2 linked regions of the Struthio camelus genome follow. The protein of the gene in region 1 interacts with the protein of each later gene in a biochemical or structural test. Links are inferred from orthologs where the notes say so. Each region holds a gene or a part of one and is shown in the gene's direction. Other genes may lie near its edges.

Region 1 (8,254 bases):
GAACCTGCTAATGGGAACCGCTAACCTTGCTTGGCCTCAGCTTAGCTGGGTGCAAAGCGATATTGGCCATTAATGTAGATAAGAACAATATTCCCTCACACATCTTATTTCCAGATGGCAAAAAGTAAATGAACTTATGTTTAATTCTATCTTCTTATTTCTATTTCTTTTTCTCCTTGCATTTTAAGTGAATTCATCTTCCTTCATTGCCCTGTTACAGAACATGTTTTATTTTATTTCTCCAAAGCATTTACCAGCTGTAAAGCGGACAGATCTGGTCAGAGCGCTCCCAGGCTGGCGGACTACCCACACAATATCAACAGGGAGCACCGGTGTCTCCTCCCAGAGCTGTTTTCAGGACTGACCAAAAGACCTGCCACGACCGGCCCTGAAAAGGAGATTTAAGTACCCAGGGACGCTCAGGACTTGTCTGCTGCAGCGAGCGGCAAGGAGGGGATCTTCTCTGGCACCGTTATAGCATCTAATGTCCGGACTTCTGTCTCTACTATTTTTTTTAAGAGTTTTATTGAATATTAACATGTTTGAAGCACTCTTAAATATAGTCATGCAAAGTGTTACATAACAGACCAAGCATCAGTCTTTGGCCTCTCTTCATAAACGACAAAGCAGTGACAGCCCAGGTGAACACACTGGTGCATTAGGGCCTGGATGTTTGCATCAGATTTCTTTTGCACTTTCAAAGCAGAGCAGAAAAACTCTGAAACACATTATCAATCCCCCCTGACTTGCTCGGCTGTCCAGAAAATGTTTTATGATAGAGATTTACCATTCACAGAAGAGGCCAGAGGGAAAACCCTTCTGTCCGGAGAAGCTGTTCCAAAGAGATAACTAGATTCTCACAGCTGACAGAGGTGTGGACATGTGAAATGTCCTTTATTAGCTTCTTTGAGGACAAAGCAGTATGAAGAAAGTATTATTGTATTCCAGAGCAGAGCAAGAACTGATTATTAAATGTAGTTCCAGTACATGGTAATCAAGATCTTGTTCTAATTAACTATTTCGTAAACCTAACATCAATTTTATACTAGATTTCAAGGAGGCAGCAAAGCTGTGATCTGTTACTGACAGCGTTAATTGGCTTTCAATTTATACACTAAAAAGCATAAACTTAGAATAAAAGAGAAAGAAGTACGACCTTGTCTTGGTCATAAGCGCTTTACTTGTTTCCTAATGCTTAAAATCTGGGGCATAATTTTCAGCGGAGAAAGTAGGAGAATAGTGTAGCGTTTCTGCTAGCTGAGAGGCAGTGATGATGGGATAAGAAATGTGTTTGCAGAGTGAAAGCTGGTTTCAGTAAACAGACTGTGAGAACCAGAATTCACCTGTTAGAACCGGGCCTTCAGCTACTTGACTTCAAAGTGACCTCAAAGGAGAATTTAAAATGACTTAGCACGCTACCCGTGAATGACAGGGTGGAGATACGTGGTAGTACACAGGATCATTTATAGAAACCTGCCGACGTGGTTGACACTGGCATTTGGCTTGTGGTTTGAAAACGTTCCACCAAACTGATTATTAAAAACTTGCTCCGATCAGAGGATTTTAAATCACTGCTCCTTACTTCACTGCACGGTCCTTGCCTCATTTCTCAAAAACCAAAGCAAAAATGGCATGAGAAATCCCCGGAGATAAATTGCATGCTTGTATTTGTTGGCTACAGACCAAAGAGCCTTGCCCTTTGTTAAATAATCAGATACCGTTTGATGGACTAAGTTCCCTTCAATAAACCTGCAAGTATTTCCATCAAGAACGAATAGCAGGCAAATTTTGTAGTGAAACAAGGTCGAGCGTTCTCCTTGCCAGAGCACGCTTGCACTATTATGAATGTAATAAGACAGGCATTGTTAGGCTCCCTCTTGCTTTGGTAAACCACGACCGTACCAAGCAGTTCAATAAGCACATTAACTGCTACTGTTTGTGAGAATCATGGTAGCTAATGCGCAGTCCCTTACGAGCAGCAGTTTATGATGCTTTAAAAAGCCTTTGACTAGAAACGCGGCAGCAAATTCCATAGCCTAAAACACAACTGAACTGTGACACTACATGCTTCTGCATGACTGTTCCGAAAGAGCAACTTCCAGGCTAACTGTACCAAAAAGAAAACTATATTTGAGAGTAAGTTGAAATCTGAAATGCCTCAATAGGCAAACTGGAGTTATTAAGGCTAGTTTTCTACAGTCCCGGTGTAAATAAAGTTTACTTATGATCACACTGATGATGAGGATATCTTACCATTGAGGACCCTTTACAGGTACTAAAGCTATTCACTTTGCACAGAATATTAGAGTCACCATCCCACCCATTAAATATCGGTTTTATGATAGCCACTATTATATGAGCCAAAAAAAAAAAAGAAAAGCAAAGCTGGTCTGTGCCATTAAGTTTCATTGAAATAGCATGTAATTGTCCTCTCAAAGGCAGGAAACAGAATCACAGAATCACAGAATCGTTTAGGTTGGAAGGGACCTCTGGAGATCATCTAGTCCAACCTCCCTGCTCAAGCAGGGTCCTCTAGAGCATATGCCTTATGAGGATGAAAGCCTTTTGTGTGCACACAGGTGTGCACAGACCTGTGAGCTAGCCATCTCCAAAGGCTCAGAGCCAGCTGGGAGGAAACACCAGCCCCAGGGACATTGATGAAACACAGCGGTCAGGGTAAAGCCTTTATGCAGCAGCAGAAGCAATGGGAGGAGGGGATCGCCTGCTCCAATCATTGAGATATTAAATTTTAAGTCAAGAAGTATAGCAAACCCAGATCTGAGACCTTTTCTCAGACTGTAGCTTTCCTACCAGAAAGAAGTCTAGAGTTCTTCCACTTCTCACTCTTCCCTAATGCCTGGTAGAGAGCGGAGGTGGATACGCAGGCAACTGCTTTTCCACTTCAGACTTCTACTAAAATGTCTTGTTATTACAACAAACCACTTGCCGCGGCAGCACCACTTTACAGGCTGTTTTATAAATAGAGACATTTCCTCTACCCTGAAAAGCTTACAACCTACATGAGACAGACAAAATAAAGCGAATCAGGAAAAGTAGGATGAGCAGAATATTAACGATGAAACAGGAGAAGGTGCTGCTTGAAGATCTGAAGTGGGCTAAGTGTTAAGAACTTCACAGAGGCCAGCTCCCTTTTTTCATCCTTCTCCAGACTCCCATCGAAACAATTTGCTGGATGAATGCAACAGCAACGTCTGACTTTTGAGGGATTCAACATCGTGAGTTCATTTAAAACATAAACGCAATATCTGTGGGATCCAGATTCTATGCGAAAGAGAGCTCTTTGGTTTTAAAATATGGAAATGGAGAGTTCATCGCAGAGGTGAAAAGTTAAAATACATCATTCATTTGTGTGTGCTTATGTGGCCACTGGTGGTCTAGTCAATGCACATTTAAAATTTTCCTATTTATCAAAGTCTACTCTATTCCTCAAAAGATAAGGCTTATAGTGGACATAATCCTGTCCCATCGATCTAAAGCAAAAGGAGTTTTAGCGTTGTCTTCAGGGGGAGTATTTTCTCCCCAAAACAAGAGAATTTAAAACACGGCCTAGACTTTAAAAATAGAGTGGTAAAATGAAGCCTACGCATCACTGTGGCTATAAAGGTTTTAAGTAGGTGCTTTGAGATTTTCAGGATCAGGGCCTGTGTCTTCTTCAGTTGTTGACGCCTGGCTCAGATCCATTTTTAACACGCGGTCAGCTATCGGAAATATTCACCTGAGTGGGGCAAAACCTGCTTTGAATTGCTACAAAAAACTACTTTTATACGGCTAAAAGATCACAGAGATGGTTCCGAGCAATAATTAAGGCATATTTAGCAAGTATTAGAGATCGCTTGGCAGAGGAACGTGTAACAGAGGCAAGCAGGAAAACCGAACAGCTTTTAACTCGGAAGCTTTGTCTGACGGACAGAGACCGTCTTTGTTCGGTGTTTGGACAACAGCGAGCAAGATGCGGCTCTGGGTCATTTCCTTTGGTAGGACAACGAAGAGGAGAAGGAAGGAGTTATTGTCCTGCGTTAGGTAGCGCAAGTGAAAATACTGGAGTCACGCCCCGCGTTTGGCAGGGTCCCGTGGCCCTCTATAAAGCTGGGTTCATCAGACGTGTCTCAGGAATTTGCCCTAATAAGCTAAAAATACGTAAAGCCGATGTTCTTTGCCACACAGAAGCGTCTGCTATCAAGCTACAGGAAGAACAGCGCCTGAAAAACACAACTTGACACAGAAATTCCACATTTTGCTTGATTGTCCTGATCGTTTCTGTTGTGTGTGGTGACAGCAAGAACACGCTGTGTTATGGCTATTAGGACTATTTAAAACCTCCAGACACCTATGAAACCAATGTAAACAGCAGCCTATGTGAGTTCGTGGTAAAAATGACCCTCCCATTCCTCGTTCTTTTAATCTTTTCTTTAGGGTCTCTACCCCCACCTCGCCAGCTCCAGCAACGGACCTGCGCGCAGCCCAAGTGCAGTCTAAACACCTTGGCGTTTGGTGGCCGGCACGTTTCAGAACTGCTCGTTTTTGGAGGTGGATGGGGCAAAACGGGCCTGCTGATCCCTTCACACCCATCCTAACCCCTGGATGCTATTTTTAAAGTGTGGCAAGTGGAGGCCTGAGGCACCCGGGGCCGAGCTCTACCCCTGCTCGCCGCCCTGCCTCCTTCGTGGCACTTGGCCTCAGAAACCGTCGCCAGCCCCAGGCCCAGCGCCCCTTCCCCCCTCCCTCTCCCCAGCCCCCCACGGGAGCCTCTCGGGAGGAGGGCGACGGGACCCCGGAGAAGGACTGCGGGGGATCGACAGCCTTTTCACCAATAGGAGCTCGGCTTTCATAGCCAGCAGCCAATCAGCGTCGGGGGCGGGTCTATAAGCGAGCAGTCCTTCCCGCCTCTCGCCTGAGGGAGGGGAAGATGCGGGCGGCCGCCATCTTGTGTGTGGCATCCCCGCCCTTCCCACTCTCTCCTCCCTGGCGGCCCTACTCTCCCCCCCACCTCCGCCGTCCCGCGACGGCGGCGGAGGGCCGAGGACAGCGGCGGCGGCGGCCCCCTTTCTCGGCCGAATAAACAAAAAGACAGCGGGCGGCCGGCCGGCGGGGCGCCGCGCTCAAGATGGCGCCGGGCGGCGCCCTGCTGGCGCTGGAGCGCGCGCGGGTGGGTGACGTCAGCGGGACTCTGGGCATGGGCAGGTGGAGGGAGCAGGCAAAGTTTGGCCGGCGCTAGCGGGAGGCGGGCGGGCGGCGGCGGCGGCCGGGGCTGCGGGCGCCGCTGCCGGCAGTGCTCGGGGCGGGGGCGGCGGTTGCGCCTCGGCTCGGCTGTGTGCTCCGCTCCGCTCCGCTGCGCTGCGTTGCTGGCGGCGCGCGCGGGCCGCCGCGCCGCTGCCATGGCCGAGGACCCCAGCGCCCTGCCCTGGTCCATCAACAAGGATGACTACGAGCTGCAGGAGGTGATCGGTGAGTGCGGGGGGGGGGGGGTCCTGCCCCCCCCCCCCATCTGAGGGGTGTGTGTGTAACCGTTTGGGGGGGGGGTGTCCCCCCCCCCGCCAGGAGGACTTTGTTTGGGGGGGGGGTCTGTGTAGGGAGGGGGTGGTGTTCCCCCCCGTGGAGGGTGTGGAGGGGGGGGTCTGCTCCCCAAATGGGGGGGGGCAGAGGAGCAGATGCCCCCCGCCCTCAATGATGGCTGTATGTAGGGTCTATTCCCCCCCCCCCGAAACCCAGGGAAGGGGTGGTGGGGATCTGCTCCCTCCCCCCCAAGGGGGGGGGGGCTATGTTTGGATTTGGAGGGGGGGCCCCGTTGCTGTGTTTTTGTGACCCTCTGGGTGCGTGGGGGGGTGTCTGCTGCCCCTCGAGGGGTGTGGGGGGGTTTGGTGTCCCCCCCCCCGATACCTCACGGCGGGGGGGGCTCCCCTGTCCCTTGGGGGGGGGGGGGACACCCTCCAGGGCAAGGGCTGCTTGGGGTTTGGGGGGGGGAGGATCAGTGCACCCTCGTGCTGGGTGGCAGAGGATGGGACGGGGTCTGTGCTCTGGGGGCTCCTTTACTGACCCGTCGCTTACTGACCCGGCTGAATCCACTGTGCTGGGGTGGGGGGTGAGGTCGCCTGCGGTGCAAACCCCAAAATTTATACGGGCTCCCTCCCTCCAGAGCAGCCGGGCGCCTCCGCTGCAGCACCTGGCGCTTTGGGTGCTCTGTTGCTTTGGCGTCTTCAGGGGACGGAGGACTTTGTAGTGCCACCAAAGCAGTGGCACTTTTTTTTCTCCTCTTCCCTGGGTTTTTACTATTGTCTGAATCTTCATTCATTGTCCTCTCGGCTTGAGGCCTGGCCCTTGCTCTCTAGTAAATGATTTTTCTTTCTTTTTTTTTTTTTTTTTAAAAACATTTTGACTTTAAACTGACACAGTTACCAAAGGCCTCCTGCTGTCCTGATTTATTGGCCGTCTCAACCGTTCGGCTGGGGTGTGTGTTTGAGGGATATATTGCTCTAGGTTGCGCGTGTGACACGTCTGAGGTGGTGCCACAGGCAATGCTAAGGTCAGTGCCTCTTGTGTCACTCTCTGGAGGCAGGAAACAAAGTGGGAGGTGGCAGGGCAGGCTCCTGGCCAGGAGGCTTTTAGGAAGGAGGTTAATTTTCGGTTTAATCTTTGTAAAGTGCTTTTACTTGAAATTTATAAATGACATAGCTCTATCGTGCCCAGGCCTTGCATCTCTGCCCAACAGGGAGACTTAGTTTCTGTTAACAAGGGTGGGAGAGTTTGGGGAAAATGCTGTTTTAAGAGATTAAATTCTTGGCATTGTTTGAAAGTCGGAAGGAACTAAAGCTGTTGGGGGGGGGAAAAATCCTTGTGGCAGTTCTGGAAATCCCTGTTGCTCCACTGGATCAGGCTTTATCCTCTCCCTTCGCCTAGTGGGAGCAGCAGCGCTTTAGAAAGGAGGCAAACCATCAGTAAAGACCGGGAAGACGTAATCTCGGAGATCAGCCCGTTAAACCTCCTCGGAGATCATCCCGTTAAACCTCCTCTGGAAGACGCACCCTGGTGAGGCTGGTGTCGAGCCTCCTCCAGGAGCAGCAGATAAAGGTGCAGGGGCAAAGAGGGGGGAAGAACAGGCCACTGGGCTCCCAGTCCCCGCAGGAAAGGGAGCTGCGGGAGTTGCACCCGTGCTCGCAGGAAGCGCTTCTCCCGTGGGAGTCTCCGAAGGGGTGCTCTCGCATAACACAAAGCCAGGTTTTGAGTATCCAGCGAAAGGACAAGCTGCCTCTTTGTAGCTGGGGAACGGAGTGGGATGGGAACAAAAGGGAATGCAAATGCGCTCCTGCTCTTAGGAGGACTTGCTGCTAGAGACGCACGTCCTATAGTCCAACAGTATTAGAAGGAGGACGTAGATACGTTGTGGTCTCACTGGAGAAAAATCAGGGATAGGATATTTCAGTTCTTTCATGTCTTTCCCCTACTCCTCTGTAAACTTTGAGTTTCTGGTTGTCATCTGCTCATTGAAAGATTGTGTTGGCATTCTGGAATGTAATGGAGAGTATGCTGAAATGTGTATATTACAAACATATGGTTCCTTTTTTTTTTTTTTTTCAATTTCCCATCCCCCCCATCTTACTCATTTTCAACACTGGTGTGCCTGCCAGCGCCCTGGATGTATATGTGACGCAAATTTTCTAGCGCATTTATCATTTGTGGGACAAAATGTCACTGTGTTAACTGAGCTGGACTGTGTTAACTGAGCTGGACTGCTCCTGCTTCGTGTCTCTTGTAAACCTCAAGGTTTTTCTGAGCTCCTTTGACTTCTGCAGAACTGTAAAAGTTCTTCAGTAGTGAACGAAGAAGGGATCTGGTGTGGAAAGGGGTGAACCTTGCAGTAGTGCTTTTAAAGGATTTAACTTGTTTTCTGATGAAAATGTTCTTTAAATTTTGAGTCCAGGAGGTTACCAACTCAGTTATTTTTCACATCAGAATAAAGGAAATCAATGTCTGACTACATGATCTAATTCCTTATTTGTGCTATTTTTGCCAGAAGATATTCATGTGTGGCTTTCATATGACTTGGATGGCTCTGTACTATTTCAGTGCAAGAACTGAAAGAGCAAGCATTCTAGCTGCTAAAAAAAAAAAAATAAATAAATAATTTCTCCTGTAAAACTGCCTTCCTGGTTCTAGCTAATACTAAAAAGAGATTACTCAGCCCTGGACATGATTCATGCCATTATAAAGGTATAGATTAATGCTTATGTTTATTATG
Region 2 (7,817 bases), on another chromosome or scaffold:
CCGAGATAAGGGGCTATCAGGCCACGCACGCGCCGAGCCCGCTGCTCGCGGGCAGGAAACGGTTCAGAGCTTTTTCATTTAGTGCAGCTGGTCAGGATCAAGAGTTGTTCCAGTTTGATAAACACGTAACCTGGGATGAATTTGTACACGGGTTACGTCTGTAACTCTGGGCTGAGGAAATCCTGAGAAGACTTATCTGCCTGGAGCTAAAGGCACAACTGAGGTTTGAATGACATCTCGCCCTCCCTGCAGTACGTGCGCTAGGGTAAGGATGGCCCGCAGGGAGACGAGCGAGGAGGGGGCACCAGCAGGTATGCAGTGCCGCAGCCCACCAGGAAACAGCTCCCGGGTCCCCTTCCCTGTCGGCATCCGTGGGCGGTGGTACTATCCTGCTTTACGCTCGAGGCAGCGCTTGGACCCTGCGCCTGCCTGGCAGGGGTGGCGTGAAGGAAGGCTGGCGGGGCCGCGCAGCTGGCCTCTTCCGCCTGCTCGCCTCTCGTGCCGCTCTGGCCTGGTCGTGCCGTTCCCGCTGGTCCTGCGACGCGTTCTCTGTGTCCTGCTCCCTTCTTCTGCTTCTGGCTCCTAAAGGCCTTTTTCTGCTCCGTGCCTGTTTTAGTGGGACCTGTTCGCCCCAACACGTTTCCTAGTAGGAAAGGGTGTATTAGTGGAAGCCTCCTCCCTGCTCCTTTCCAAGATATGCAACGGTTAAGGCAAATCCAGGAAGCTCAACTCACTTGTCGGACTAGCCAGATCTGCCGTTTCACTTGCCGTGCTGTCCAGTCTGAACTGGGTATCCCCGTCTCATGCAGAAGACACCTGGGCACCACTGGCTGAAGGAGGTTCGTAGGTACACAGACCTCCTCTGTGTCTGGACCCGTCTTGGCCCCTCGCTTATGCTGCCAGGAGCTCTGAGGTCAGAACGGACAAGTTCTGGCAGCGCTCGCTGGAGCTAGCACGGGAGACACCGGCGCGCTTAGCTGAACAGTTCTTTGATTAGTGATCTAATCCCAAGGAGAGTGATTACACAGTCCCCTGTTCTCTTCCTGGCAGCCAAATGCATGCGAAAAATAGGTTAAATTGCCTGATTACAGCGGTTCCTCAAAGTGAAGGGCTGGCACTGGCACCACAAGCCCAAGAGAGACGTCACCCTGATAACGTGCAAGGGTGTTGTGTGTGTTTTCTGAGCACTGGGAATGAGCTGTTGATTGTGGACTGGAACTTTCTGCTTTCAGCCCAGGTCTGAGTCCAGCTTGCTACCTCAGGACCGGGTCAGGAAGGCACCCGTAGCGAACCTAACAGTCTCTCTTGTGGTCGTTCCTGTTCTTGCCCTGTGCAGAAGGGAACGGAGAGTTGCGATCGGTTTTCTCTCCCTCTGGACACAGCCCCGGGGCCAGAAGCAGCCGAACGTGCCGTCCCTGGAGCGCTTGCCGTGTCGGAGGTGGTGGGAATTCCCTTGCAGAGCAGCAGCATTTCTCTCTGCGGATAGATTCATTTTCCTATTTAATTGAGGAAGCGACCGGTCTGCGCTGAGTGGTGCTGAGATCGATATCCCACCCTGAGGGGCAGGCCCCAGCGGCTGCGCCGGAGCTGCGCGGTGTCCGGATTCGCCTCCGTTCTGGCGGCTGTAGAACGACACTCGACGTTCCCCCTCGCTGCTCTGTGGATCAAGTGGAGGATTTTCAGCTAGAAAAGACTGAAATCTCCGGCTTTGCTGAGAGCTGCAGTCAGGACCGGATAAAAGTAAAAGCAATTACTTTTTAAGCAGGGAACTTTTAAAACCTGACATATGTTAGATGGGTAGGAAAGCTACAGCCCTGTTTCCCGCGGCTTTGACGGGCTCTGGAGGAGAGGTGAAAGTCAAAAGATGGGGCATGAAGGATGGTTCTTCACGTGTCTCCTCCTCCTGCCTCCCCTGGGGCTTTGGCAGATGGTCCCCTGGCTTGTGCACGGGCTCTTTAACTTTGTGCAGCCTGCAAGACGCTGGAGGAGAGAGGTCAGTAGGAAGCGGGAAGCCTGAGAGATGCCACGTGGGAGGCGTTTGCGTGGGGAGCTGGGATACCCCCCCCTTTCTGGATGTGGATCTGGTGAAAAGGGCAGATGTTTTTGCCCTGGCAGAACGGTGCATCTGAATAAAACACTTCATTTGGCAGAGTGGAGTCCAACTGTGTCATATTTTACAACACAACAGTCTTCCACACCAGGAACATTGTGTGTGCCACACCTATCAGCCCGTCTGTCCTGGCCTTTTGTCTTTGGCAACAATCAGCCTCTGGTGCTTTGGGACAAGGGGCACTTCCTCCCAGGAGGCACCAAGCGGAGTGCTGCGGAGGGGCAGACCTTAGACGTGCATGCTTCAGCCTTGGGTGGCTGTTCTCCCGCTAGCACATGCCCTGAGCACGCTCTTGGGAGCACCGCATGTAGGTAAGGATGTGGTCCCGTCTCTCAACTCACCAACCCAGGCTGCACATTAGCAGTTTTCAAGCAAAAAAGAGACATCCGATCACATTCTCCTCTTGGGGCAGTTTTACCTGGCTCCTTTGTTTTGCGAGCCGGGCAAGCAGGGATGAATGAACGGGGTCATGTGAAGGTAGCACAAGCCTGCCTGTGCCCGGGAGATTAGCAGTTTGACACTCGGCCTATCCAGGGCTGCTGCAGAAACAACGTTTCATTAAATGCGTCTCCCTCCTCCCGCCCGGACGGGGGGTGGGATTTGTGGGGCTGCAGCTGTGCTAGACGTGGGCTGCAGCGGTACTGTGAGTCAGGGCTGCAGCCCAGGGATCACTCGCTGTCCTCCTGCATACGCCGGGTTAGCATTTGAAATCTGTGTGGAGGACATTGCTGGGCTACTATTTCAATCCTCCCCTTAATGTTTCTCTTATCGTTGAATAGAAACAATCTGATCCTAGGGAAAATAAATTAATGTCGGCTTCAATTGCTTTGTATTTTGTGTAAACAGTTCCACTAAGTAGAACAACTTCTTAGTTTAAACCGTAGAGACAACAAGCTCTTGTCTGCGCTCTGGGTTAGTGCATGGCTGGAACAGACATTCATACCTTAATATTTGCATGGCCCTAATTTTAGGATTTCACCCAGTAGCAAACTGAGAGGATGGGCTGTCAAGCTGAGCAGACAGGCGCGGGACCCGATAGCTTGTCAGAACAGCGAGCGGCAGGAGGTGCTCCCCACAACCTGGGAGAGGGACAGCTGCTGTTTCTTGTAAACCCGCTGCTCTGAAATCTCAAGTTAAAAGCTCTAAGTAAATGTCTAAAACAAGCACTTCCCTACAGCTCAGTGTAGCCTGCGTCACCCTGTCTGATGCTTCAATTACACTAGCCCCATTGCCAGGATTGTTTCCAACGCTGCTGGAGAGCAGAGCGCTGGCTCAAGCCTGGGAGGGAAAGGGGCTGGCAGCCGCTTCTAGCTCTGCAAGGAGGGGATGGCCGTTGCACAGCAGCTGGGCTCAGAGCTAGGCTTGCAGCAGGGGAAGGACGGGGCACATGCCCTGCCTTGGGACCTGCAGCCATCCCAGCACCTTGTGCCCACGCGCAGCCCGTGTGCGGAGCCTGGTGCCTGGGATGCAGTGCCTGGTGCTGGTGTGCGGAGCCCAGTGCCAGGGTGCCAGGGACTGTGGGCCGTGCACAGAGCGGTGCTGGGGGCTAGGGACGCTGCATGCAGCTCCTGCACGCAGTGCCTGTGCCTGGTGCAGACTACCCAGAACCGGTGCTCAGCACGTGCAGCCTGTGCCCAGTGTGCGGTGCCTGTGCGTGGTGTGCATTGCCTGGGCCACGGTGCCTGGTGAGCTGTGCTGCTGCCCCATGCCCATGCCCAGTGCGTGGAGCCTGGTGCCTGTGCTGGTGCCCGCTGCCCATGCACGCTGCCCATGCCAGTGCTCGTGCAAGGTGCACAATGACCATGCTGGTGCCTAGTGCCTGTGCCGGTGCTGGTGTGTGGTGCATGTGCCCAGTGCATGGAGCCCAGTGCCAGTGCGGGTGCCTGTGCCCAGGGCATGGAGCCTGGGGCGGGTGCGTGGTGCTTGGGTGCACAGTGCTGATGCACAGTGCGTGGAGCCTGGTGCTTGGCTGTGCAGTGTTGGTGTGGGTGCTGGCACCCAGTGTGTGGTGTCCGGGTGTGTAGTGCCAGTGCGGGTGCCAGTGCCCAGTGCATAGAGCCCGGTGCTGGTGCCAGTGCAGGTGCTGGTGTGCGGTGCCTGGAGCTCAGTGCCGGTGCCTGGTGCACAGAGTCCAGTGCCCGGTGCCCGGTGCCTGGAGCCTGGTGCCGGTGCCGGTGTGCGGTGCACAGAGCCCGGTGCTGGTGCCGGTGCGCGGTGCACGGAGCCCGGTGCCAGTGCCAGTACGCGGTGCACAGAGCCCGGTGCAGGTGCCCGGTGCCCGGTGCCCGGTGCCGGTGCCGGTGTGCGGTGCACGGAGCCCGGTGCAGGTGCCGGTGCGCGGTGCACGGAGCCCGGTGCCGGTGCCGCGGCCGGCGGGGGCCGCTCCCGCGGCGCAGGGGGGGCGGTGGCCGCGGGGAGGCGGTGCCGGGCCGGGCCGGGGGCGGTGCCGCCGGGCGGGGCCGGGGCCGGGGCCGGTGCCGGGGCCCGGGCCGGGGCTCGGCGGGCGGACGGCGGCGGCGGCGCCAGGTGCGAAGCTGCGCGGGAGCGGCCGAGCCGCCGCCGTCGCCGCCGCGGGCCGATGCTGGCGGCGGAGCCGGCCGCCGCCGGCGGGGCCATGTCCCAGCCCGAGGCGGAGCGGGCGGGCGGCGGCGGCGCGGCGGAGGAGCCGGAGCCAGGACCGGGGCCGGGGCCGGAGCCGGAGCCAGGACCGGGGCCGGGGGCCCCCGGGCGGGCGCCGCACCGCAGCCGCGGCCGGCGGCTCTCGGGGCGCGAGTCGCGCCGCGCCTCCGCCCGCTTCAGCCGGCGCAGCTCGGCCGAGCTGGAGCTGCTGCGCGGTGCGGCGGGGCCGGGGCCGGGGCCGGGGCGCGGGGGGTCGCCGCCGCCGCTGCCGCCGCCCGCCGGGCGCCGCCGGGAGCCCGAGGAGACGGAGAGCGAGGAGGTGGAGACCCGCGCCGTGGCCACCTCCCCCGACGGCCGGTTCCTCAAGTTCGACATCGAGATCGGCCGCGGCTCCTTCAAGACCGTCTACAAGGGGCTGGACACGGAGACCACCGTGGAGGTGGCCTGGTGCGAGCTGCAGGTAAGGGCCGGGGCCGGGGGTCGGGGCCGGGGGGCTGCGGGAGCCCTGCCCGCGGGCGGCACCTGGGCGGCGGCGCCCCGACCCCGGCCCGGCCCGGCCCGGCCGCCTCTGCCCCTCCGCGCTGCCGCCGCGGGCTGCCCGCCCCGACGGAGGGGCCGTAGCCGGGGCCGCTTGGCAGCTCTTCCCCTGCCGGTTGCCCTGGCGCCTGCAGCCGCCCTGCAGCCGTGAATCCCTCTCGCTGCCTCCGGTGCCTCCCGGGGCGGCCGCGCTGCGCGGGGGAAGCGCGAGGCAGCTCCCCTTGGGATGCCCAGAGCAGCGCACGGGCGGTTGTTAGTCGTGTCCGTGCCATTTCCGCAGCCGGCTGCAGCAGCCGAGCAGGACGCGGTCCTTGCAGCCGGGCTCAGGTTCCCTCGCTCCCCGAAGGTGCCTGCGTGCTGGCCGGCGCCTCGGAGCCGCGCGGGGGCTGCTGGCCTGGGCCCAGCTCCGGGCTTAACACGGCGCTTCCCAGCCCTCCCGCCTGTCACGTGCTGTTTTCCACTCGCCGTGTTGCTGGCTGCGCGGTGGCAGCGCTCCTGGTGCGCCCGCGCTGCCCGTGCCGGTCCCGCTCCAGGAGTTCGCGGGTGGATCCAGCCCTGCTGCTGGGGGCTGAGCCCTGCGCTCGCCCCTGGCAAGGGCGGTCTGGGACAGCAGCGCCCTCTCCTCGGCCCGTGGCTCTGCGCCAGGGCTGGCGGGCTGCTCCGATAGCCCCGGGCACGCCGCTGGGCACGTGTTCGCAGTGTGCTTGAGGCTGGGTGCTGAGCCTGCTTCCAGGGTACAGCGCGTCCTTGGTGCGCGCCGGCCGCTCGTCCTTGACTGCGGCGCTGTCCGTAGGCACCTGCGGCGCCGAGGTCCCTGCCGCGCGGCCGGCACGCTTGGCTAGCTGCGCCTGCAGCTGCGGCTTTCCAGGTCTGGGAGCAGCTGCGCTGGCCCCTGTCTCCCCCCGCGTCCCGCCGTGCCTTTCGCTGTCCTGCGGCCCGACCGCGGGACGCTAACGCCAGGGCGCGAAGGGGAGCAGCGGGGGGTCGGCTCCCTAACGCCTTCGCCGCTCGGGTGAGGCCGCGCGTGGGTGGTCTTGCTGCGGGGCTCCCTCTTCCTCCGCAGAGCCCCTGGGGAGGGGCTTCCGCTAAGTCCAAAGTCTCGGACGGGCTCCTTCGCCCTGGTGGCTATTGTAGCTGGAAGGTCCAAGTCCTTGTTTACACAGAAAAACGTGTCTTGCAAGTTTGTTGTCTTGTTCCTAAAACCTTGGTGCAGCTGCACGCTGCTGCATCCCTGGGGACGGCTGCAGCCTGGCAATGGAAGCAGAGATCCTTAGGTAATGGTGAATGCTTTCAGGAAGGGCTCGGTGTTCCCTGTTAGCGAGGAAGGTGAGGCCTTGGCCCGGCGTCGCGGGATTGCACAACTGCTCCAGCTGCCCGCTGAGCGCATGCTGTGTCCCACCCTCGCTTTGCACCTCGTCCCGTTGCAGTGCTCCCGCGCTTCCACTTGCGTCTCGTATCCCTTCGCGTGCTGCTGAGAAAACCGGTCTGGCCCTGACAAGGAAGGACGTTTCTTGCTAAACCCTGCGGCTTTCTCTGGGCGAGTCAGCCGTGCCCGGCTGGCGTCGCGGCAGACCGTCGTGGGTCTGCGCCCTGTCTTTGCCCACGCGCGTCCCTGCTCTCCCGGCTTCACCGCTAGCGTGCGTGGCAGGTCCCGCTGCTGCACGGCGCTGCCTGGCAGCCCCAAGCCCCCGGCCCCGCTGCGGCAGACGCCCCTGGGGGTGGCCGGGCTGCGTCCCCCAGCTGCAGGAAGGGAATCGCCCCGCTGCCGGCGCCCGTGGGGCCGGGGAGCCGCTCGCGCGCGGTGCAGCCGCCCACGCGGGAGCGTGCCCGCCGCGCCGGGGAGAGCTGGCGGCCCTCGGCCTCCTGCGGCGCGGGGGGCCTCGGGGCGCGGGCCGGCCCGGCGCAGCGCCCCTTCCCGCCGCCGTGGCTCTCCCCGTTCCTCCCCTCCGCCACCTCCTGCCTGCCGGCCCTGCCCCTAGCTGCTCGCTCTCCGTGGCTCCTGTCCCAGAACCCACGTCCCATTCGGGTCTGAAAGCATATAGGCAGACTTTTAAAAGTCTGTTTTCCTGCAGCAACCATGCAAAGAATCAGACACTGTGACACAAATACGGGATTTGTAACCGCAAATAAAAATGGTTGTGGTTCTGCCCTTTTAAAAATAGCTTTGTCCCGTGTCTTTCACAGTTCTCCTTTTATTGCCTTTCAAATATAACCGAGTACCTAACCTCAGCCCTGACCTGCAGTTCCGGCTCTGAGAGCCTTGTCCGGCCGTTGCGACGTCCCTCGATCCCAAATCGCAGCTCTCCTCGCTCTCCCGCCCGGCGCCGGCCGTCCGGAGGCACGGGCTGCGCCGCTCCCGCGGGACCCCCGTCCTCGGCGTCGCGGCCGTCCCTGCCTCCTGCCCGCGTCCCGCAGACCCGCCGCGACCTGTTTACGCTTTCCAGCTTTAGGTCCGAGGCTATTTCAGTTGATAGGTGCCGAGGGCGGTGGGGGAAGGAGGAAGCAGGGAGGAAACCAGAGGCCCAGAGCGGGGTCAGGCTGTAAATACGCT

Evidence for each region.
Region 2: the proteins of OXSR1 (region 1) and WNK4 are reported together in a solved structure, tested with the Homo sapiens proteins (2 studies listed by BioGRID and IntAct, with this or other methods). The link is inferred for Struthio camelus from reciprocal best matches to the Homo sapiens genes OXSR1 and WNK4.

The regions. Positions count from the first base shown.
Region 1 is NC_090943.1:6,329,750-6,338,003, forward strand, and holds the start of OXSR1 (serine/threonine-protein kinase OSR1), read left to right. Parts: upstream 1-5,254; 5' UTR 5,255-5,396; coding exon 5,397-5,466; intron 5,467-8,254. UniProt on the Homo sapiens protein: Effector serine/threonine-protein kinase component of the WNK-SPAK/OSR1 kinase cascade, which is involved in various processes, such as ion transport, response to hypertonic stress and blood pressure.
Region 2 is NC_090966.1:7,833,482-7,841,298, forward strand, and holds the start of WNK4 (serine/threonine-protein kinase WNK4), read left to right. Parts: upstream 1-4,688; coding exon 4,689-5,189; intron 5,190-7,817. UniProt on the Homo sapiens protein: Serine/threonine-protein kinase component of the WNK4-SPAK/OSR1 kinase cascade, which acts as a key regulator of ion transport in the distal nephron and blood pressure.